3 linked regions of the Sus scrofa genome follow. The protein of the gene in region 3 purifies or fractionates together with the protein of the main gene of each other region. This does not show direct contact. Links are inferred from orthologs where the notes say so. Each region holds a gene or a part of one and is shown on either strand. Other genes may lie near its edges.

Region 1 (8,246 bases), on a different chromosome or scaffold from region 3:
CCTGGAGTTCCCATTGTGGCTCAGTGGTTAACGAACCCGACTAGGAACCATGAGGTTGCGGGTTCAATCCCTGGCCTTGCTCAGTGGGTTAAGGATCTGGCACTGCCGTGAGCTGTGGTATAGGTCGCAGACGCGGCTCAGATCCCGAGTTGCTGTGGCTCTGGCATAGGCCGGTGGCTACAGCTCCGATTAGACCCCTAGCCTGGGAACCCCCATATGCCACGAATGTGGCCCTGGAAAAGCTAAAAAGAGAAAAAAAAAAAAAAAGAAGTGCTTCCTTGACATTTTGTACAAGGAGATGTGATGCCTGCTCAAAGCTCCCGTGTGGCCCACCGTGACCTCCTACACAACCCAGGCCATCCCTGACCCTTTCAGTGTGCAGGGTACCAACCTCCAAGGGCAGGCACCGCAGAGGCCATCAGGCCCATAGCGGATAAAGCAGGGGGACATTCAGCCTTGAGGCGAGTAGGCTCTCAACGTGCGGCAGCCCCTCATGGGAAGCAGGTGGCCCTCGGCCCTGTGGGAAAAGGAAGTGGGCTCGGGACACGGGCCAGAGCCCACAGGATGCCCGTGGTGCGGAGCCCCAGGCCTGGGGCTAGCTGCCCAATGCCCTGTCCACGGGAGTCCGCCCCCCACTTCCCTCGCACCTGAGCCAGAGACCCCCAGAGGCCCCCAATCCCTATGGCCTCAGCAGGTTGCCACTGGGGGCCGGGAGGGGAGAGGCCCAGGCCTCCTGGAAGGCTGGGGTCTGGGGACCACTGGAGTTTTATTTTCTCATGTTCCTTCCAAACATGTTCCGCTGCTTCTCAAAGTGGCAAAAGCCCAGATGCTTAGATTTCAAAGCTCAACAGCTGATGATAAAATCAACAATATTCAGAACCAAATTTGATTAAATTCCTAAGTGTCTGACTAAATCATGCTTTTAGATTTAATATAAAATGTGTTGAAAGTTATATGCATGCCAAATTCTATGACTTCGGAGCATGAACAACAGAAAACCCAGAAGGGGCTGTCAGCCCAGCTGCCTGTGCCTCCTCCATGCGCCTCGGTGGGACCACAGGGCCTGCCTCATCCCCACCTAGGTTGTCACCACCTCCCTGGACAACGGCTCTGGATTCAAGGCCTTTCAGGTACACATCGACTTGGCCCAGGATGTGTGGGACTCTGACCCGCTGCCATGGGCTCCTCATTGACTCCCCGCACGGCAGGCAGGGCCCAGCAAGACCACGACATCCCCAACACCGACCCCCTGGGCCCCTTAACTGCTTGTTGCAGGGCCAGGGCTGCGGCTCTGTTACAATTATACCACCACCTGGCCTGGCCAATGTGACCATGATGCCGAGGTCATATACCTTCTCTAAATGGCCCCCACTCCCCAAATCTAAATCCAGAGGGAGAACCACAACCCGGACTGACTCCGCCTGCCAAGCCCCCTCCCAGGAGTGTGCAGAGGCCTCAGCAGAGAGGCCTCCAAAGGGAGGCTGCCCCTGCCTGTCTTTTGTCCCCGACTCCTCAGACACCCCTCAACCCAGGATGAGGTATCAAAGGCACCGTCCAGGTGCCCATCTCTGGCCCATCTCCGCACCACAGTGGTTCCTTTCCCCGGAACACACCCTGGATCTGCTCTCTTCTCTTCCCTGCTGAGTCTACCTGTTCCACCTGTTCTGAGACAGGGGTGCACCTTCCTCCCCTCCTTCCAATAAGGAAGGAAGCAGGTACACAGCAGTCAACAAACCCTGCAAGCCCTGGCCCTCTCAGAGCCGGGTTTTACTCCAACAGCCTCCTGCCTGGTCCTGGGCCTCTAAACCTCACCCTCTTGCCGTTGCCAGGAGGCTCTGGCAATGCCTCCCCGCCTGCGCCGTCCACCAGCCCCGGGATGAAGCCTTGGCGCCTTATCTTGCACACCTTCCAAGTTCCCCCCAAATGCTAAACTCCACCTTCCTAGCCCCGGCTTCTGCCAGCAAGCCTCTGCGCCTTTGCACCTGCTCTTCTCTCGGCTGAGGGCACCCTTCCACTTGGGTCTCAGCTGCAGTGTCACCTCCGCAGAGGCGCCTTGACTTCTGCACCTAGTCTTCTCTTTTTATTTTATTTTATTTTATTTTTTGTCTTTTTGCCATTTCTTGGGTCTCTCTCGCTGCATATGTTGGTTCCCAGGCTAGAGGTAGCCGCCGGCCTACGCCAGAGCCACTGCAATGCAGGATCCGACCTGCGCCTGCGACCTACACCACAGCTCACGGCAACACCGGATCCTTAACCCACTGAGCAAGGTCAGGGATCGAACCCACAACCTCATGCTTCCTAGTCAGATTGGTTAACCACTGAGCCACAATGGGAACTCCTTCTTTTTTAAATTTTTAATGTATTTATTTATTGTCTTTTTAGGGCCGCATGTGCGGTATTTGGAGGTTCCCAGGTCAGGGAGCGAATCGGAGCTGCAGCTGCCAGCCTACGACACAGCCACAGCAACACCAGATCCCAGCCGCGTCTGCGACCTTACATCACAGCTCATAGGCAACGCCGGATCCTTAATCCACTAATTAAGGCCAGGGATCTAACCGGCGTCCTTATGGACTGTAGTCAGACTTGTTTCCCCTGAACCACGACGGGGACTCCTGCACCTCGTCTTCTACCCTGTCTTTTGCTGCCCGTCCTTTCTGACGGCACTACCCCGTCTTACCCACCCGGCCGAGTTCCGCTGGAGTAAAAGCTGCGTCTGCCTGGCCACTCCCTGAGAGGCTTCTAACCGCACGAACCCTCTGCCCGGCCGGTCCCCACGGCGGTCGGCTAGAGGCCGCGGCACCTGCGCACTCCTCCCCCAACCCCGCCGCCCGAAACTCCGGGTCTCAGGCCCAGCGCCCACGGACCGCACCAAGCCCGCGGCGAGCCTAGGACGCAGGCGCACGGAGAGGGGCAGGGCCGCCTTAACCCGCCCCGCGCCGGCCCGCGAGCTACCACGCAGCACGGCCCTCCCAGCCCCAGCAAGCTGCCAGTTTGCCCGCCCTATGCGCCGCGCAGCCAGCCCCTGGCGGCCCAAGACGCCCCTCCCGAGAGGGGAACCAAAGTACGCGCTCCAACGCGGGGTGCTACACACGACCTTGGCTCTTTAACATTCTCCTTGCTCGCGCTCATTGGCTGAGGCGCTCTACGTCATCGCTGCGCGCCGGACGACGGCGCCTTCCCGCTCCCTAATCCTGACGCCAGAGCGGCGCCGGCCTCGGCGGCTGAGGAAAGCGGGAGGAGGTCTCGGCGGCGGGAAGATGTAAGTTGCGGGAATCCGACCCCATCCGAGCTTCGGGGGCCGCTCGCCAAGGTCGGCGGGGTGCATCGTGAAGCCGGCCCTCTCCCCGGCCCCGCGGTGGCAACGGCGGCCTAGCGGCGCGGTGTAGTTCTTAAGAAGAAAGAGTGGCCAGAGGAGAGCTGAGTAGGAGGCGCCGAGGCCGCGGCCCGGAAGTGGTCGGGGCTGCGGCGGGCGGAAGGGCGCCCTCGCTTCGTCTTCTCTGCGGCGGGCCCAGGGAGGCCCGCGGAATTCGGAGCAGCCGGGAACTCGGCCTCCACCCTCAGGGTCCTCTCGCCGGGCAGGAGACCCAGGCCCGCAACGTCAGGCCCTGCCCTGGAAGCTCTCGCGGCCCGGCGCCTGGAGTGGGGAGTTGTGAGTCTACGCGGACAGGGGGCGGCGAGGTCGCGTTGGGCCCGGGGCCGGTGGGTGCAGAGTTGCTTTGTGGGGTGCCCTGGGTGACCGTCTGACCTTCCTTTTGAAGATCTTGCTTTAAACATGGAATCCACGAACATTTGTCGGACTCCTGTGTGCCGTTCTCGGTGCCCATCTTTGGGGATATGGCCCTTAATGCCTTGGAGCTCTGTTTCCCGGCTTGCCCCAGGAGGGAGGGTACGGGAAGGTTAAATATCAGTGGAGAAGAGATGTGGCTTTTTGCCTTTGTAATTTCGCATGAATATGCCTAAAACGTACTGTTCAGCGGGGAAGGGGCTCTGAAGATACGACCTGAAACGGTAGCTACTCGAGATTTAACTAGTTGTTCTCTCCTCTCTCTGGCTGTTGGACTGCGCAACTTTCCGGAGGATGGGGGAGGTAACCAGAGTCCTGTGCTGTTACCTGAACTTGTGTAAACAGAGAACGTCAACCATTGCTTTCTACCACCTAGGCCTCGCCCAGCGAAGCGTTTACGTACTCTGTGGTTCTTAACTTTCCAGAGTTTTAAGAATAACTTGCTAGATTTTTATTTACAAAGTACATTAGGGCAGATCTTTAGGCCTGGGGTGGGGCCCAGCAATCTGCACTCTGTCATCTGTTCAGTAAGGTTGGTTCAGTAATTGGCCACGTGTGGATATTAGGCACTTGAAACATACCCAGCCCAAAGGGGGGTGTTTAAAAGACTTGGTATGGGGAGGCGTAGATATTTTGTTAACACACTTGGATACTGATTGGTGAAAAGATAATATTTGGGGTATAGGGTGTCAGATAAATACATTACTAAAAGTTAACTACATCTGTTTCTTTTGTACTTTTTGCAAACGTGCCTGTTAGCAAAATGTTAGGGTACTCTTTCTGTTGGACCAGACTGCTCTTGGTGATCCTCTCTTGAGCATTCAGAGGTTGTGTGCGACTTTTATTTAGAGTCAGGAGTTTTTATGGGGAAAGAGCCTCCAGCGCCTTTCTTCTGAAATTAGCTGAGGTTTATTGAGCCTTAAGTAGGTGCCAAGTTTCTTTTATGGGTCAGTTTGATTTATGTCTTTGATAACTATGAGGCGTAGACTGATGAAAAATTGAGGCTAGAAAGGTTAGGTGATTTATCCAAGGTCACACAACAAAGCTCTGAACGAAAGCCGAGCAGGCTGACTCCACACTCTTAACCATTGAGTTAGACTCAATGAGTGTCTGAGGACTGACTTATCCCAGCTTGCCTGGTCCACATCTCCTGTACCGTATTATTTTAAGACTGAGCATTTTAAAAGACTGTAGCCCTGGAAAAGAGCAACAAAGGTGATGTTCTCTTTTGTATTCTCTTTGATTGTCCAAAGCTGGACACTCTTGAGTCAGTGATTATCCAACATTTTGGCACCACTGCAGACTTAGGAACAGGCTCCAAATTAGTCGGCTGTGTCCGTCCAGGTGACTTACAGGCTGTCGGGGAAGGTGAGGTGGAAGTAGTAGAAGCTAACATCCTAAGATCTCTGCTTAGAACTCAAGCAAATCCTACAAAACTTGACTGGAACCACAAAAGGCAACAGTCCCCAGGAAACGGGACCCACAATGAACTGGTAGTTGGTTCTTGAACGGTATTTACTAATGATCATTTACTGAGTACATACTGCAGTCCAGGCCTTTTGCTGAACCATCACTTACAATAACTGCGTCAATTCCAGTGTCTGCTTGTTTCCCTCCAATTTTATTTTTGAAAAAATGTGAACACACAGAAAAGTTGGGAAACTTTTGTACAGTAAATAGCCACATAACCGGGGCCACCTAGAGTCTACAATTTACATCTTTGCTGTATTTGCTTTATGTCATCCATCTTATTTTGTCTCGGGTATACCTCTCCATAACATTTCCATGTGCATATGCATCTTTAATATTTGCAACGACTGCTTTTTAATGTATTGTTCTCATGCTTTTTAACTGTTCAGAGGGGACATTTCACTTGTTCGCACTGAGTATTAAATGTTGGGGGTGGTTGTTGCTGGTTTGTTTGGGGGGATTTTTTTGTGGTTTTTTTTGTTTGTTTGTTTGTTTGTTTTTTAGGGCAGCACTTGGGGCATATGAAAGTTCCCTGGCTAGGGCCCGGATCGGAGCTGCAGCTACCAGCTGACTCGAGGCAACGCCAGATCCTTAACCCACTGAGCGAGGCTAGGGATTGAACCCGCAACCTCACAGTTCCTAGTTGGATTCGTTAACCACTGAGCCACGACAGGAACTCCCAGTATTAAATGTTTTGATGTTGGTACTTTTGAAAGGGCTTTTGTTTCCAGTCATATCATACACACTGTATTTTACAAAGGTCATAGCAATGAGACGAGATCTACTCCTGTCAGTGGATTTTCTCTGTTCTGCATGCAAATGTGATGCTGTGGTATTTTAAAGGACTGTAGGGCTCGACAGCAAACTTGTGAAAGAAAAACGGGTATTGTACCACCTGTGAAATAACAGGACACCACCACCGTGTCCTTGAGAAACCACAAGCTGAGGTTCCACCAGTGCCTCCTGCGGGAGTGGGACCCTCCCCAAGGAAATGGTGCCCGGCCATCCCAGAGGTGTTGTTCCTGGCTCTGTAGATGCTTGCTGCTTACTGTGTTCCTTGCTGCCTTCTGCTGTGCCTGGCTTTTGACCGCCAAGTCGATTTGTTGCCAATTAACCCTGTAAATCCTTTTGTCTTGTTATTAGGCTGCACTTTGGCGTAAATTGCAATCGATTAGGGATCGTTTCTCAGACTCAAGTTAGAAGTGAGAGTTCAGATAAGTGAGGCCGCCATTGCTGCTTTGAACACCTCAGAAGGGGAGAATGGATTTATCAGGAGTGAAAAAGAAGAGCTTGCTAGGAGTCAAAGAAAATAATAAAAAGTCCAGCACTAGGTAATCCTTCCTTCTGTCAGATTTTTCTAGTGCTACTTTGGGGGTACTCGTTGCTAGGGACCGTGAGAAAGGGGGAACTTGGAAATGTCTTGCATTTTACATGCAAGTGTCCTAAGCCACAGATCATTGTGCTCTGTGATTGCCTGGGATTTCTGTAGCCCTTTGGATCCCCTTTCGGGTGGTGCTGTTGCTTCAGGGTCCAGTCACCAGGGCCTGCAGTCTCACGCTCTTCCTCACCGTCCAGGGCTCCTTCTCCTACCAAACGCAAAGACCGCTCTGAGGAAAAGTCCAAGGACCGCTCTAAAGATAAAGGGGCCACCAAGGAGTCGAGCGAGAAGGACCGTGGCAGGGATAAAACTCGGAAGAGGCGCAGCGCTTCCAGTGGTAGCAGCAGCACCAGGTGGGGCTGGTGGGTTAGAGCACTGCCAGGGCCTCGCTTCCGCAGCCGTGTCTCTCTTCCTGCCCAAAGAGCCCAGAGGGCACTCTTGTCTCTTTCTCTCTTTTTTTTTTTTTTCCTTAAAGTCTAGTTGATTTACAGTGGTGTGCCAATTTTTGCTGTACAGCAAAGCGACCCAGTCCCATATATGTATATATGTATTGCCTTTCTGGTATCATTTTCCATCCTGGTCTCTCCCAAGAGGCTGGATATGGTTCCCTGTGCTGTCCAGTAAGACCTTATTGTCTGTCCATTGTAAATGTCATAGTTTGCATCTACTGACCCCAAGCTCCCAGTCCATCCTTCTCCCTCCGCCGCACTTAGAGTGCGTTAATTATGTTAGAGAGGACACTCGGGTTATTAATGGAGACCCTGATTTGTGGCAAACCTGATTATATATAGAAAATGGTGTTGGGATTTTTTTTTTTTTTTTTTTTCCTTTCTTGGCGATGTTAGGGAATGGGGTGACTAGGGGCATGGTTCATCTCTCAAGTGCTTTTTTTTTTTTGTCTTTTTGTCTTTTGTTGTTGTTGTTGTTGCTATTTCTTGGGCCGCTCCCGCGGCATGTGGAGGTTCCCAGGCTAGGCGTCCAGTTGGAGCTGCAGCCGCTGGCCTACGCCAGAGCCACAGCAACGCGGGATCCGAGCCGCGTCTGCAACCTACACCACAGCTCAAGGCAACGCCGGATCGCTAACCCACTGAGCAAGGGCAGGGACTGAACCTGCAACCTCATGGTTCCTAGTCAGATTCGTTAACCACCGCGCCATGACGGGAACTCCCTCAAGTGCTTTTGATTTGGGGTTGTGATCAGATTCCCCAGCCTAGGGAGTCTTTTCCATCCATTGAAACCCAGCCAGAGTCAGTAGCTGGTTTCCAGGCTGAATTGGTGCTTCTGACTTGCCGGCCTCCTTTACAGGCGTGGCTTCTGTGTGGGTAGAGAGGGGCTCGCTCTTCCTTTCCTGTCACTGCACAATCCGCATGCTGTTTTCTGTCCCTGCTGAGGGCGGGGAAGGGGAGTGTCAATGTTTCCCCTCCGGGGACGCTTGAAAATACATGGGCAGAGGTCTCCTCTCCAGAGCCAGACCTGCTTGACGGTGCTGTGGGGAGTTGCTCTTGCTCTTCCACCACCGTTGTCGGGGCCCCTCCCTCTCGCCCTCAGGTCTCGGTCCAGCTCTACCTCCAGCTCAGGCTCCAGCACCAGCACGGGCTCCAGCAGTGGCTCCAG
Region 2 (8,043 bases), on a different chromosome or scaffold from region 3:
CAATTGAAATACAGTAGGCCTATATGAAGAGGAACCTTTTTCTAGATTCTTCCAAATTATGCGCATCTAGCCCTCTGTTAAGGACATAATTTCCTGTGGCCAAATACCACAGTAGGTATTGGTCACAACTTTGACTTCTCTGAATAGGGGCACATAACTTTGGGTAAAGACCCTATTCTTTTTATTTTTATTTTTTGGCTGCACTTGAGGCATGCAGAAGTTCCTGAGTCAGGGATAGAACCCATGCCACAGCAGTGACCATGCCAGATCCTTAACCCATTGAGCAACCAGGGAACTCCAAGTTCCTATTCTTTTTATTTTTTATTTTGCTTTTTTGGGCCACAAGTGTGGCATATGGAAGTTCCCAGGCTAGGGGTCAAAGAGAGCTGCAGGTGCCAGCCTATACCACAACCATGGCAACACCAGATCCGAGCCATGTCTGTGACCTACATCGCACCTCATGGCAATACCAGATCTTTAACCTACTGAGTAAGGCCAAGATTGAATCTGCATCCTCATGGATACTAGTCAGGTTTGTTTCCACTGAACCACACCAGGAACTCCTCTTTTTACTTTTTTAATTTTTTTTTTCTTTTTATGGCTGCACCCTCAGCATATTCAAGTTCCCAGGCTAGGGGGTCGAATCAGAGCCACACGAGCAGCCTATGCTGCAGCTTGCATCACCAGTGGTTTTTTAACCCACTGAGTTAAGGTCAGGGATCAAACCCGCATCCTCATGGACACTGTGTCGGGTTCTTAACCCACTAAGCCACAACGGGAAGTACCCCTATTCTTTTATATATATATAAAATACTTTTAACCTACTTTTAATTCAGCTGGTTAGAAGGAGAAAATCCAACAGTACCCTAGGCAATTTCTTTTTTTTTGTTGTTGTTGTTGTTGCTATTTCTTGGGCCGCTCCCACGGCATATGGAGGTTCCCAGGCTAGGGGCTGAATCGGAGCTGTAGCCACCGGCCTACGCCAGAGCCACAGCAACGCGGGATCCGAGCCGCGTCTGCAACCTACACCACAGCTCACGGCAACGCCGGATCGTTAACCCACTGAGCAAGGGCAGGGACCGAACCCGCAACCTCATGGTTCCTAGTCAGATTTGTTAACCACTGCGCCACGGCGGGAACTCCCATCCTAGGCAATTTCTAACCCCATCCTTCAGATAGAACAAATCCGGACAGAAATGTCATAGGGCTTTGAAAAACGGAGACTGAGAGTAGTTTTCACCAGTGGAAACAAGGTGGTTCAGGCTGCACCCTGAAAAGAACGTGTGTGAAAAAGATCTAAGAACTAACACTTCATTAACTAGAGCATCACAGGGGCCTCCCAAGACTTATTCTAGAACACTGGAACTTACTCTGTGCTCAATGTTAAGATCTTACAACCTAACACTAAAACAAACAGTAAGAGAGAGGAAAAAAATAGGAAACAGGAGTTCTGGCCAAGGGTTATTTCAACATAGTGACGTTAGATATGCTTCTTGGTGCCTAAATTTCTGGTTGGTTAAAAATGTCCTTCAGTTTCCATATCGGGTACCCTAAACATATCCTATAAATCTTTAGAGCAGGGGAAAACTATCCAGCAACTGAGGCTATGAAGTTCTCCACAAGGATGACAAAAGGGCAATATGACACTTCCCTAAATGAATGTACTATTACTTATATACACACCTGAATGTGGTTCCCTTTCAAAAGACGCCACAGGAAGTTGCATACTTACTCTAAAAATGCTACCATCACATCAAAGTTTAGACATTTTTCTGGAATTGCTTTAGAGTCAGCAGTTTATTCTTCTGATTGCACAACAGTGGGATATGGGTACTCCTAATGTCAATTTATGCCTTGCTTATTTCCTAGAGAGATTTTAAGTAGCTCTATTAAAAACATTTATGCTAATGTTTAACAGAAAAAAACTGTATGGTTTCCCAGGTGACTTCTCTGATGGGAATATTTCTTTAAATATTTGTGAAGAAAAAAAATAAAGACCACGTGACTTTGTAGGAGCAGTTCATATTTAGGGAAGAGGAGAGTCAAACTCCCTATCTTCAGTATCAATTCCTCACATCTCCCCCCCAGTGTTTCTGACAGCACAAATAACTTGCCTATTTCTCTGCAAACCTGCCTCTTCATCACAAGGCTAGAATGGTAGCAGTAACAGAGTCAATCACTTTTCTGAAAGGTGATTTTCTGATAGTCGAAGCCTGACCTCCCTTTTTAAATCGGGACACAGCTGCCCCAACTTTACTTAAGGCACAAAAACAGCTTTTCAATCCTACATTCTTGTTCGCAGAGCCTCTCCAAAATGGCCACATTGGAACTCTTGTATATGTGAAAGTGCTTATATGCTCCTACTAATCAACTCTTTGGTCTTCTCGTGATTTCACTAAATGACATGCACGCACATTAAATGATCAGGCAATGATCATTGAAAAGAGTCTAAGAATTATTTTTTATATGCCTTTGACACATTATCAAAGCTACACAACCAGTTACTCAGAAGAGAATTTAGCCAACTCTTCATGTTCATCAAGATCAAGCCTTCCTTCAAGAGATGACAAAAGGTATCTTTAACAAATTCAGGGTTCTATAAACTAGACAGGTTGTTTTGCTTTAATTCAAAACAACCCAACTTCACGTTTACTAGCTGATAAGCAACAATGAATCTTCCTGGCACTACTGGCTCACTATATCCATCTTACCTGAAACTTTTAACACCAAGAAGGAAAAAACAAGTCATTTTTCCACAGGAGTGGTTCCCTCCACTCAGGTTTCAAATGCATCCTTGAAGCTACTTTTTTACAACTTTCTGGAATAACATATACAGTACTTGAGGAGCCTTTGCGTTGATAGGATCTTCATGAAAAGGCTCTTTTTGCTTCTGAATGCCTATTTATTTTCTAATAAATGGAGCCCCTTTGGAAGTTTCACTTTGGAAGCCTTTAATTACATTTCAGAACAAGCATGTTCCTGAACCATCACACTTAGAGTTGAAACAGGTCTGCCTATTTCTGCAGATTTTCTTGAAAGTTCACAGGAAAATGAGGTGGGAGGAGTAGGAGAGGGACATCAGACAGAACAGATGCAAAATGAGAGCTCAAACTGCTCATTGGAGAATGTGGCTGAAATAGTTCATATCCTTCTGACCTGTGAAAAAGAAACTTTAACGCCGCTCATAAGACACTCACCTTGAGAATTTTTACAACCACTCTCTCGTTGTTGGTGATGTTAATGGCCTCAAATACTTCACTATACTTTCCCCGACCAAGTTTTCGAACCAGCTGGTAATCATCTTGATTACTGTGAAAGCCAAGAGCGACAAATATAAATGGCAGGACTTAGGATTAACCAAGCCTATGCCCACTACACACCCCATCCAGGCGCTTCCATTAATCAAGCACTTGGAAGTGTCTACACATCATGCCACAACTCATTCCCTAAATGAAAGCCACAACATAAACTTGGCTCCTCGCACTAGACGCAGTTCCTAACCTAATTGGTCCCTCATAACTTAGGGGAGATAAGGTGGAAGGCACGGGTCTGACTCAATCTAGAGGTGAGCAAAGCATCCATCCCGGAGGCCCAGAGGTGCCCCTCCGCCCAGCACCTGCCTTCTATTGCACACCCAGAAGGTAGACACCGCCTGCCTTGCGAATCTGGACATCCTTAAAAAATTTCCTCCCACCCATCCTCATTTCAAAAAAATAGAAAAGCAAAGAATTTTAATAGCTCAAGAGGACAGCTGCTGACTTCCCACCCCAATAGAAACCCCAAAGCGTAAAAGGAAAGGCTGCTCCCTTACTCCCACCGGGCTCTGGTCCCTGGACCCCTACACTTGTAAGGAAGTATACCCTGGGGTAAGGGGTACGCACAACGGGGAGGGAGAAGCGGAAGGGAGGAGAGGAAGACGAGGGCACTGGTGGGGGGAGTGGACCTCCCACCCCAGACCGGAGAAGCGCAGGCCCAGCAAAGGGGCAGGCGAGGAGATAGACAGCGGGGGACAAGTGCGGTTTGCGCGGGGGGTGGGGGGACGGCCGGGCGGGGGTGGGAGTGAGAGGGCCCGGCGGGGGGCGGCGGCGGCTTTACCCCCAGCTCGGGACGTGAGACTCATAGTCCCAGTACTCGCGGCTCCTCAGGCTGTTCACCTCGGCGTAGACCCGGGCCCTGCTGCCCGCGGCCGGGCCCGGCATGGCGGGCGGGACCGGGGGGCGTCGCGGGGCGCCGAGGGCGGCGGCGGCGGCGCGACGGGGGGCGCGGGGCGGCGGGCGGAGGAGGCGGCGGGCCGCGGGCCGCCGGAGGAGGAGGAGGAGCGCAGCGGCGGGCGGCCGCGCCAGGCCGGGCCCGCGGGGGCGGGCGGGCTGGGGGCGCGGGGGGCGCCGGCCAAGCCGGCCGGGCCCTGGAGCTGCCGGCGGGACGGCGGGGCGGATGGCGCTCGCGCTCCGCGGCGGCCTCCGCTCGGCTCGCGGCCCCGAGGCGGCGGCGGCGGCGTCGGCGGCACCAGCAGCGGCAGCCGCCGGCCGGGAAAGGGGCAGCGGCAGCGGCGGCGAAGAAGGAGGAGGAGGAAACCCGGAAAAGGGGCCGCGCTCACTAGGAGCGGCCGACGCCCGGCCCGGGGCCGCCCAGCCTCACAGCGCCCCCTGCAGCGCGGGGGGACCCGCCCGCCGGCCTGGTCCCGCCCCTGACCCCGCCCCTCCAGGATCCCCTTCCAAATCTACCCATCCTTGGTCTGGCAGAAAGCGCTCATCACAGGGCCTCCCCGCCCACAGGCTGCTGTCCTAGAGCCTTGCCCCCTCGCCTACTCTTCCAGGACTCTCCTAGAGACCCCCTACCCCAAAGCTCTCTACCCTTTCGTCATCCAGAGTTTCACCACCAGACCTCTCATACCGACCCTGCTGTGACACTTTTGTCACCCAAACTGTTCCCATCAAGTCCCTCCCTCATGAAACTTGCTCTTTTCACTCAGAACCTCTCCAACTCCTGATTTCCCCACCCCTCCCAGAGACAGCCCATCTTCCCTGATAGACTCTCCCCTGCCACCCACAGACTCTTGAACCTCCAGACTTCCCCTTCTCTCTTCATCCACAAAACCCTTATCTTACATTTTCCCCAAAATATCCTTCCAGAACCTTCCCTAAGAACTCTCTTTATGTTCATATCCTCACTTGGTTAAGTTGGAGTCAGCCAAGTTACTCACTGTAAAGTTCCTATTTTTCCCTTTGTAATTAATAAGCAAAATGTGTGGAGACACTTTGAGACCATAGAAATACCTTGGTTTGGTTTGGGAGGACAGAGAGCAGGAGAATTGTGAGAGTCCTGCCTTGAAGGGACAGGCTAGGAGTTGGGTATGGACTGAGGGTGGGGTGGCCAACCAAACTTTGGCCTATTTTATTAGGTTGCCTTCTAGCCCTGAACACTCTTCTCTCCTTGATGTTCTGGGCCTTTCTTTGGTCTTGCTTTTCCATCCCACATTTTTTAATCACTCAGCCTGGGTTGCTTTGAATCCAATCCTTTTTCATATTCTGTTTTCTAGGTGAGGCCCTGCTTCCTCCTTCTTGATACAATTAAGAGAACAAACTCTGAAGCTAGATCCTTCCGTGTTTGAATGCCAGCTCTGCTACTTACAAGCTGTGTTACCTTGGGCCAATAACTTAACCTCTCTATGCTGTGGATTTTACAAAATAAAAGCAGTAATGGCACCTACCTCACACGACTATGGAGCAGATTAGACAAAATAAACCATGAAAAACACTTAGAACAGTGTCTAGCAGATACTGAGTGCTCAATATGATTATTATCTGACCAGGGCCTTTCCCTACACATTGCTCTCCTTGAGATGCCCGTCTTTCAGTTTTTTCTACCCTCCAAGTTTGGCCGACATCACCTCTACCCCCTCCAGTTCCATTTTTCTCTGCCTGACTCCTTTTTCCTCTCCAAGTCTCACTTTTAAGTTCATTTTATTTATTTATTTATTTTTTTTTTGCCATTTATTGGGCCGCTCGCATGGCATATGGAGGTTCCCAGGCTAGGGGTCTAATTGGAGCTGTATCTGCTGGCCTACGTCAGAGCCACAGCAACGCAGGATCCGAGCCACATCTGCAACCTACACCACAGCTCACGGCAACGCCGGGTCCCTAACCCCCCGAGCAAGGGCAGGGACCGAACCTAAAACCTCATGGTTCCTAGTTGGAGTCGTTAACCACTGCGCCACGACGGGAACTCCCATTTTATTATTTTTTAATGATTTTTTTTCCATTATACGTGGTTTACAGTGTTCTGTCAATTTTCTACTGTACAGCAACCCAGGCACACATAAATTATCAAGCTCCATCATAAGTGACTAGATATAGTTCCCAGTGCTTTAAGTTCATTTTAAATATTAGAGTTGATAGTGCTCAACACCCATCCACATTCTTCAGAAAATTGCATATCTTGTAATTATTTGTTTCTTAGGTTATTGTCTATTTCCTCCACTGTAAAAACAGCATAAGAGCAAAAACTGAGTCTAGGTAGGTGCTCACCACTGGCTCACCCTGCACTTGCCACAGCTCAAGGCTTTCAATGAATACAGTGTTACCCTACAGAGCACGTGTTAATTACAAAGGGGAACCTGGAGGTCATCACTCTAATCCTGAATCACACTTGACATCATCCAGTAAAGGACCAAGGGACCCTCTGATGTGCTGCACCAAGAAAGGACACAACATCTGCCGCCAAACCTTAACTTGAATCTAATCAGACAAATCAAAACTGGGGAGCTTTCTGCAAAACAGCTAGCCTGGACTCTAAAAAAAAAAAAGAAAGAAACCCAAAAAACCTCTGGAGTAGTGCTCTTGATTAAAGGAGACTGAGAGATGTAACTATTTTAAATAAAGTGTATAATTCTGGATTCAATCCCCGATGAGAGAGGGAGGAAGGAAAGGAAGGAGAGAGGGAGGAAGGGAAGGAGAAAGAATGCAGATAAAAGGACACCGTATTGGGGCTACTTGGGAAACTTGAATACATAAAAGTATCAAAGTATCGATGTTCAGTTTTATGAGTGAGAGGATTATATTGTGTTTAGGCAAGAAACTTTCTTGATCTTGGAAATTACATGCCAAATGTTTGGGGATGAAGTATCATAATATCTGCAACTTTCAAACGGTTCTGCAGAGAGACATAAGTTCCTGAGAGCACAAGCACGAACGGGGAGAGGGGAGAGATTCAGGAGAAATGTTGACACTTGGGGAATGTGATTAAAGACTATGTGAGCTTGCAATTTTTTGGTACTTTGAAATTTCTCAAAATAAAAATTGGAAGAAAAAACCATTTATAGAATAAGTGGGCCTTGGAATTTAATTCCCAAACCTGCAAAACTCCCCAAATCTCTGTCACACACACAAAAAAACAAATGTTCTCAAATTCTTAATGCAGCCTTTGGATTTCTTTGTGACAAGTCCCTGTGAACTAGTCTAGACCGGAGGTTTTTAATCCTGAGCCCCTGGATGAGCTTTTTAGGTTGATGGAACTCCTGACACTGTGTGCAAGATTTATGGGTTGGGGTGTGTGTGTGTGTGTGTGTGCGTGTGTGCGTGTGTGCGTGCGTGTGTGCGTGTGCAGGAAATCTTAGCATTCATCAGATTCCCAAATGAGGCCATGACCCAAAAATGGTTCCAAACTACTGGTCTAACTACTAGGTCCAACCCCAGCTGGGGCCCCATTCCTCACCTCCACCCTCGCCCACCTCTGACCCCACCCACCCTCCCTGCACCTTCCTCTCATTCCTCACTAGCAAACCCACACCCATCTCATGTAACCTGCTCCCACGCCTGCTGGGATGCCTGAGGATTCACCCACACATCGCTCTGGTGCAACATGCTCTTGGGTTTGCCTGACACTTTGCTAACTCGGCCATGAAATCTGCAGTCAGTCCTCCCACGGCCAAATGGAGTATGCCTTTGTGGTTTCTTAGTAGGTAGATCGGACACCCCGTAGACTTGGTGGAGACCCACCTCCTCTCCTTCCTGCCAGTTTGCCATGCAATGTGCTTGGTGTGAA
Region 3 (8,165 bases):
ACTTCAGCAGCTGGGGTCACTGCTGTGGCATGGGTTTGATACCTGATCCTGGAACTTCTGCATGCCAGGGGTGCAGCCAAAAGAGAAAAAAAAAAGGAACTTTCAGCTAATAACACTTTAACATCCTGTCATAAAATTCAGGTTTACCTGTCAAGCACATTGTATGAACTCAACCTAAAGAAAACACAGAGATAGAGGAGAGGGAAGAAGGAGCTTATGAATAGCACCAAAGAGGAAAAAAAAATAAGGAAAAAGAAAAAGCATAAAGCCTTCAATAATATTGGATACAGGAAACTAAACAAACCCATATCAGCATAGTCATTTAAAAAAACCCTTTGTGGAGTTCCTGATGTGGCACAGCAGAAACGAATCTGACTAGGAACCATGAGGTTGTGGGTTTGATCCCTGGTCTTGCTCAGTGGGTTAAGGATCCAGCGTTGCCATGAGCTGTGGTGTAGGTCGCAGACATGGCTAGGATCTGGCGTTGCTGTGGCTGTGGTGTAGGCCAGCGACTTCAACTCTGATTGGACCCTTAGCCTGGGAACCACTATATGCTGCAGGTGTGGCCCTAAAAGACAAAAACAAAAACCAAAAAAGCCCACAACCCTTTGTAATGCTAATGTCTAACAGGTAATCAGTTATGGGATTGAGAAAAAAAATTCAAAATAATACAAACGGTGGCCTAGTGGGTTAAGGGTCTGGCATCATCATTGCTGTGGCAAGGGTTTGATTCCTGGCCTGAGAACTTCCCCATGCCAAGGGCACGGCCAAAAAGGGAAAAAAAAAAATACACTCACACACACACACACACACACACACCACACACACACACATACTTGTTTCAACATTAAACCCTTCTATAAATAGGAAATTAGCACCCCATGAATAACAATCTAAAGAGAACAATTAAAATGCTAAAATCCACTAGGTATATGTTTTATTCCTTAGGTATATTCAATGGTTTTAAAATTTAAGAAGTAGAGGGAGTTCCCGTCATGGCGCAGCGGAAACGACTAGGAACCATGCTGTGGCTCTGGCATAGGCTGGAGGCTACAGCTCCGATTAGACCCCTAGCCTGGTAACCTCCATATGCTGAGGGAGCGGCCCTAGAAGAGGCAAAATAAATAAATAAATAAATAAATAAATAAATAAAACTTAAGACGTAGAATAGCATAAATCACAAGAAAGAGGGGGGAAAGTGACCTGTACTTAAGTTCTGCACTTAAAAATTTTGACAATATATTCTAGATTTAAACAAATATTACATTTTAAAAATATATTTTAAAATCACTTACTCTGGTTCTGGATTCTTTGGAGAAAGTCCCCATACTTCAGGAGCTCCAAGTTCTCCAATCCTCTCTCTCTCACTTAATCTCCTAGAACAGACAGGAAAGTAAATTATAACTCCATGGCTAAACTGTTTCCTAAATACATAATAAAATTCAAAGGAGTCCAGTTAAAACCTATTTTCTCTTTACACTTTAAACTTTAATAGGAGTTCCCGTCGTGGCTCAGTGGTTAACGAATCCGACTAGGAACCATGAAGTTGCGGGTTCAGTCCCTGCCCTTGCTCAGTGGGTTAAGGATCTGGCGTTGCCGTGAGCTGTGGTGTAGGTTGCAGATGCGGCTCGGATCCCGAGTTGCTGTGGCTCTGGCGTAGGCCGGCGGCTACAGCTCCGATTCGACCCCTAGCCTGGGAACCTCCATATGCCGTGGGAGCAGCCCTAGAAACGACAAAAAAAAAAAAAAAAAAAAAGACAGGTCTAGCTATGCATACACACACACACACACCACACACACACACACACACACACAGACCTTCTTAAAAAAATAAAAAATAAAATAAACTTTAATAAAAATTTGGTATACTCAACACTTAGGATCTGATGTTCTAATAGAACCATCAAATGGTACAGACTACAGACGGCCAGACAGGCTGGGCCACAAATGCAGCCTGGGAAGCTGTCAAGTGCAACCCTTTCACTGCTCACATGACATAGCCCCTAACTGCTCATTTCATCTTCTGCAATATGTCCCAGAAACAGTCTCACATTTGGAAATCATTTCCTTGGTTTATGCATATTAACGAAAGTAAAGAGAAGTCTCTACTTTGATATGGTCAAACCTGCTTTCAGAAACTCAGCAATCAATGAAGAAAATAAAAAATGAAGCATTAGGAGTTAATGTTGTGGCGCAGAGGAAATGAATTCGACTAGGAACAATGAGGTTGTGGGTTCGATCCCTGGCCTCGCTTGGTGGGTTAAGGATCTGGCGTTGCTGTGAGCTGTGGTGTAGGTCGCTGACACAGCTCGGATCTGGTGTTGCTGTGGCTCTGGCATGGGCCAGAGGCTACAGCTCTGATTCGACCCCTAGCCTGGGAACTCCATATGCTGCAGGTGCAGCCTTAAAAAGAAAAACTAAATAAATAAACAAAAATTAAAAAAATTAAAAACAGGAGTTCCCGTCGTGGCTCAGCAATTAACAAATCCGCCTAGTATCCATGAGGACTCGGGTTTGATCCCTGGCCCTGCTTAATGGGTTAAGGATCTGGTGTTGCTATGAGCTGTGGTGTAGGATGCAGACATGACTCGGATCCTGTGTTGCTGTGGCTGTGGTGTAGGCCGGCAGCTACAACTCCTATTCAACCCCTCACCTGGGAACCTCCATATGCCGCAGGTGTAGCCCTAAAAAGCAAAAAAATAGTAACAAAAATAAAATTTTAAAAAAATTAAAAAATAAAAAACAAAAAAACCTGCAGTTTCCTGGTGGCCCAGGAGTCAGTGTTGTCACTGCTGTGACTCAGGTTTGATCCCAGGTTTAATAGAAAATCTAAAAGGAGATATACTTACAGCCAAACTTCATATATATACATACAGGAGGAACAATCCTGGACTGGTTGTAAAGAGCAAGCAGTCAAGTTCGCTTCCCTGCTGCCACCAGACTTCACCTGTACTCTGTAACTATTTATCTTCTAAATGTACAGATGCAAATTTCATCCAAGAAATTCTGACATCTGTTGATGAGTAATATCTAATAAGGAAGCTGTACACTTTCTGATCAACGCAAACTTTCTAAAAATTTTAATTTGTGGAGGTTGGTCTCCAACATAGCTCAGGACTGTTTTTACTGTTTTTATTCCCATGCACAAAACCCTAATAGCTAACACTTAAGGACTATTTATTATGTCCCAGGCACTAAATTATCATAACTCCAAAAGCTTTTGTGCTAATTTTATTCCCTTTTAAATGGTGAAGATAGGAGTTCCCATCCTGGTGCAGTGGAAACGAATCCGACTAGGGATCATGAGGTTGCGGGTTCGATCCCTAGCATTGCTCAGTGGGTTAAGGATGTGGCATTGCTGTGAGCTATGGTGAAGGTTGAAGACACAGCTCAGATATGGCATTGTTTCGGCTCTGGCATAGGCCAGCAGCAACAGCTCCAATTAGATCCCTAGCCTGGGAACCTCCATATGATGCAGCTGCGGCCCTAAAAAAAAGACAAAAGATGAAAAAAAAAATGGTGAAGATATGAAACTCAGAGAGGTTAAGTAACTTGCCCAAGGTTACACAACTATTAAGTAGCAAAGGACAGCTTCAAACTCAAGCAGTCTGATTCTGGAGCCTGTCCTCTTCATCACTATGCTTTACTACCTCCCACTCCTGGAAGAAAAAGATTCATGATGACACCTCCCACCTGTTAGAACCTTAACCTGCCCCTCAATGCCTGTTATACCTAAAAAAAAATTTAACACATATAGCATGGTAAAGTTCTCAGCACAGTGCCTGACACACAATTTAACACTCAACAAGCATTAGATATTAAGACTTACAGGGAGTTCCCATCGTGGCACAGTGGAAATGAATCGGACTCGTATCTATGAGGATGTGGGTTCTATCCCTGGCCTTGCTTAGTGGGTTCAGGATCTGGCATTGCCATGAGCTATGGTGTAGGTCACAGACACGGCTCAGATCCTGTGTTGCTGTGACATAGGTCAGCAGCTATAGCTCTGATTCTACCCCTAGCCTGGGAACTTCCTTATGCCACAGATGCGGCCCTAAAAAGCAAACAAAAAACAAACTTACAAAGCATATAATAACTATAAATGAAGTAAATTTAAAAAATTAACAAATTAAAATTGTGAATTACTATACTGTACACCTGTAACATATAACACTGCATATCGACTATACTTCAAATTTTAAAAAGTAAAAATTTTTAAAAATTACAAAGTAATAATTATAAATCTTTTCATTTCTCCTTCTTAAACTATTCATTTTTCCACTCCAGTATTCACTCTCATTAGAGGAGATCTGATCTCACCCTGACCTCATTTTTCATGGTCAAGATTGAGACCACTTAACAAGACCTTTCTCAATGTAGCCCAATCTACAGTTTAGCAGATCACTTTTCCTACATTTATTCAATCATCTTGTTTCGGAGATTTTCCTCCCGTCCAATTTAAACCTTTCATCTCAACCCTTCCCAAATCGCTAGAAAACAATTCCACTCACTAATCCTGTTATCATCTCAAACCTGTCTGACCATTCAACAAGCGATGATTGCGCGCCTATAAAGTGCTAGGCACTGTGAATTTTGTGATCAATAAAACCGTGCTCCTCCTTTCAGTCTAGTGGGGAATGAAAACATGCTCAAGAACGATAACAATACCACCAAGAAAATGCTACAATTCCGGTAGGTCTGAAGCTCTTGGCTATATCCGCTACAAGCCAGGAGGCAAAAAGAGGGTAGCAGGAGACCAGGGCACTAAGTGAAGGGGTCTGAGGATAAGTGAAAACCTAAGGGCAGAAAAGGGGGGATTAGGCGTTATCATGGGTCGACTGAAGGAAGAGATGAAAATGGGCGCAAGCCAGGGAGAGCGAGCAAGATGGGAATAGTCGGGAGCGGAATGAACGATAAATCCGACTCTGAAGGCTGGTGGGCTCGGGAAAGAAAAGGTGCGTTCGTTTCACTCACTTCTGCCGCAGGCTCTCCTCCCTCTCCTTGTCCAGGAGGCTAGGCCATGGCTTGTCACTGCCGTAGGGGCGTGAGTAGCCGCCATAATAGGCGGACGAGGCAGAAGCGAAAGGGGCGCCCCGCGGAGCCGAGGGCCGCTCTCGAGAGCGTGACCGAGAACGGGATCTGTAGGACTGGTTTCTGGAGCCTTGGCTGGGGCCACTCGACTGATGGCTAAGGCCATTCCGGTCCCCGGACCGAGAGCAAGAGTGCGAGCGAGAGCGGCGGCCCCGCGGGGAGCGAGAGGATTTGCTGCAAGGCTTAGGGCTCTTCGACGAACTGCGACGCTTCCCCCCGGAACCTGAGGCCTCCCACTCTGGGCTGCGGGAGCCAGACACCGGAGCCATCGCTGCCACTGGTTCCCCGAAGCCGTGGGAGAAGGGGGCGCTCTCGCGAGCCGGGGAAGATCTTGGTTGCCTTGGCTCCCAGGACCCGCGGCCGCGCCACCACCCGAACCTGAGGAAACCTTGGAAACAGTTCCGGGTACGTCGGCAAATTCCGTCCCCGGACCGAGGCAGGCCTGTTACCGATGGGACGGCGATGTGTGTGTCTATATAAAGAAGCCGGTGGAGCAACTCCATAGGTTCATCCTTCTGGTTCCTAGTGGGGCTGCTTAAATCTAAGCCTACTGGAGACTTGGTACTAAGTTCAGCCTCCAGTTGAAATACCTGAAGGGACGGACGACAGGTCGAAGGACACATGTCACTGAGCGGCCGTGTGAACAGTAAATCCGGTGTAAATAAATAAATATGTGTATGTGGAATGTGTGTGTGTGTGTGTGTGTGTGTGTGTGTGCGCGCATAGAATTCATCTAAACTGGTGGAGAGTATAGTGCCTAAGCCCCGTATTACCTAGTTAGCTTAGAGGGAACAAAATATGTATTAATGATTTGAGCCCGATACTTTTTTTTTTTTTTGCTGCACCCCGCCCCCCAGCCCCCGTGGCATGTGGAAGTTCCTGGGCCAGGGATCGAACCTGCGCTTCAGTTTCGACCTACGCCACAGCTGCAGGCAACGTGGGATCTTCATACATTCTAATTAGGTTCGCAGCACAGTATTTATCCCCCAGCCATCCATCACCACCAATGTGCTCCAGCAAAAGGAATTAATAACCCTCTCCTTGCCTAGCTCCTTAAACTGGTCCCATCAAATATGAGGACAAAAAAATGTTGGGCTACCATTTCAGTAAACAACCAATGTTCCCCACCATCAAGTCATCAGCCGCTGCAGTCTGGACCCCTCCCTGCCCCTGAAGGGAATCCAGGATGTTGAAAAAAAAAAAAAAAAAACCAGGATACTGGGACTAAATAGTTAAGATGCATATCTAAGGGATACTTTCTTTTTTATTTAAAAATATAATTCATTTACAATGTTCTGCCAATTTCTGTTGTACAGTAAAGTGACCCAGTTATACATATATTTACATTCTTTTTCTCACATTATCCTCCATCATGTTCCATCACAGTGATAGAGTTCCCTGGGCTATACAGCAGGATCTTATTACTTATCCACTCCAAATGCTATATAGTTTGCATCTGCTAGCCCCAAATTCCTAGTCCATCCCACTCCCTCCCTAAGGATTAATATCAATGAGCACAGACTCTGGCATCTTCCCATACAGAGAAAAGCCCTAACATCATTAACTTCAGATAACTTTTTTTGTGATTAGCAATAATCTTTTGATGCCAAACTACTTTTTTTTTTTTTTCAGCAAAACTCCTATATATCCTGGCTCCTCCCTTACGTCTTTGGAACAGTTCCTCTGAGCAACCTAAGAGGCTGTGTCCGGGCTATAGTCCTCAGTAAAGTCCCTGAATGAAACATAACTGGCAGCTTTTAGGTTGTGCCTTTTTCTTCCGTCTCCATATGATAGCTCAACAATACATGGTTACTGGTCATTGTTTCTATTCATTTTATACTGTTTTTATTTTTTGTCTTTTGTCCTTTTAGGTCCGCACCGGTGACATATGAAGGTTCCCAGGCTAGGGGTCTAACCGGAGCTGTTGCTGCCAGCCTACGCCAGAGCCACAGCAACACCAAATCTGAGCCGCATCTGTGACCTACACCACAGCTCACGGCAATGCCGGATCCCTTAACCCACTGAGCGAGGCCAGGGATCAAACCCGCAACCTCATGTTTCCTAGTTGGATTCATTTCCGCTGCGCCATGACGGGAACTCCTAAAATTTATTTATTTATTTATTTATTTTGTCTTTTGTCTTTTTGTCTTTTGTTGTTGTTGTTGTTGCTATTTCTTGGGCCGCTCCCGCGGCATATGGAGGTGCCCAGGCTAGGGGTCGAATCGGAGCTGTAGCCACCGGCCTACGCCAGAGCCACAGCAACGCAGGATCCGAGCCGCGTCTGCAGCCTACACCACAGCTCACGGCAACGCCGGATCGTTAACCCGCTGAGCAAGGCCAGGGACCGAACCTGCAACCTCATGGTTCCTAGTCGGATTCGTTAACCACTGCGCCACGACGGGAACTCCTAAAATTTTTTTATTATAGTTGATTTACAATGTTCTGTCCCTCTGCCCATTTTTTAATCTGCTTGTTTTTTTATATTGAGTCGTATGCTCTGTTTATATATTTTTTTATCAATCATGTCATCTGCAAGTGTTCTCTTCCATTAGGTAGGTTGTCTTCTCGTTTTGTTGATAATTTCCTTTCTATCAATCTTAATTTTTGAAGGCACAGGGAGTTCGCTGTGGAAATTCTGAATCCAGTCTATCAGTAACTAGATGGCCTCTGAGGCTTTCCTCTTAAGAAGCAACCTATCAGGGAATTCCCACTGTGGCGAAGTGGGTTAAGACTCCAACTGCAGTGGCTCTAGTCACTGAGGAGGCCCTGGTTTGGTTCTCTAGCCCAGCGCAGTGGGTTAAAGGATTGGGCATTGCCACAGCTTCAGCTTAGGTTAGGTCACAGCTGTGTCTGGATTCAATTCCTGGCCCAGGAACTTCCATATGTTCTGAGTGTAGCCATAAAAAATTAAAATTAAAATTAAGGGAGTTCATGGAGTTCCCTTTGTGGTGCAGCAGAAACGAATCCGACTAGGAACCATGAGGTAGAGGGTTCAATCCCTGGCCTTGCTCAGTGGGTTGAAGATTCGGTGTTGCCGTGGGCTGTGGTGACGGTTGCAGTGGCGTCTCAGATCC

What was found.
Region 1: the proteins of NKAP (region 3) and RNPS1 purify together in Homo sapiens (co-immunoprecipitation; 3 studies listed by BioGRID and IntAct, counting the BioPlex papers as one, with this or other methods). This does not show direct contact. The link is inferred for Sus scrofa from reciprocal best matches to the Homo sapiens genes NKAP and RNPS1.
Region 2: the proteins of NKAP (region 3) and CSNK2A2 purify together in Homo sapiens (affinity purification with mass spectrometry; 5 studies listed by BioGRID and IntAct, counting the BioPlex papers as one, with this or other methods). This does not show direct contact. The link is inferred for Sus scrofa from reciprocal best matches to the Homo sapiens genes NKAP and CSNK2A2.

What each region holds. Positions count from the first base shown.
Region 1 is NC_010445.4:39,736,109-39,744,354, forward strand, and holds the start of RNPS1 (RNA-binding protein with serine-rich domain 1), read left to right. Parts: upstream 1-2,949; 5' UTR 2,950-3,257; coding exon of another isoform or gene 3,258-3,259; 5' UTR 3,260-3,649; exon of another isoform or gene 3,650-4,087; intron 4,088-6,397; 5' UTR 6,398-6,514; coding exon 6,515-6,585; intron 6,586-6,829; coding exon 6,830-6,985; intron 6,986-8,180; coding exon 8,181-8,246. UniProt on the Homo sapiens protein: Part of pre- and post-splicing multiprotein mRNP complexes. Auxiliary component of the splicing-dependent multiprotein exon junction complex (EJC) deposited at splice junction on mRNAs.
Region 2 is NC_010448.4:20,012,526-20,020,568, forward strand, and holds the start of CSNK2A2 (casein kinase II subunit alpha'), read right to left. Parts: upstream 4,200-8,043; coding exon 4,096-4,199; intron 3,310-4,095; coding exon 3,198-3,309; intron 1-3,197.
Region 3 is NC_010461.5:98,271,304-98,279,468, forward strand, and holds the start of NKAP (NF-kappa-B-activating protein), read right to left. Parts: upstream 5,537-8,165; 5' UTR 5,361-5,536; coding exon 4,975-5,360; intron 1,377-4,974; coding exon 1,296-1,376; intron 1-1,295. UniProt on the Homo sapiens protein: Acts as a transcriptional repressor. Plays a role as a transcriptional corepressor of the Notch-mediated signaling required for T-cell development. Also involved in the TNF and IL-1 induced NF-kappa-B activation.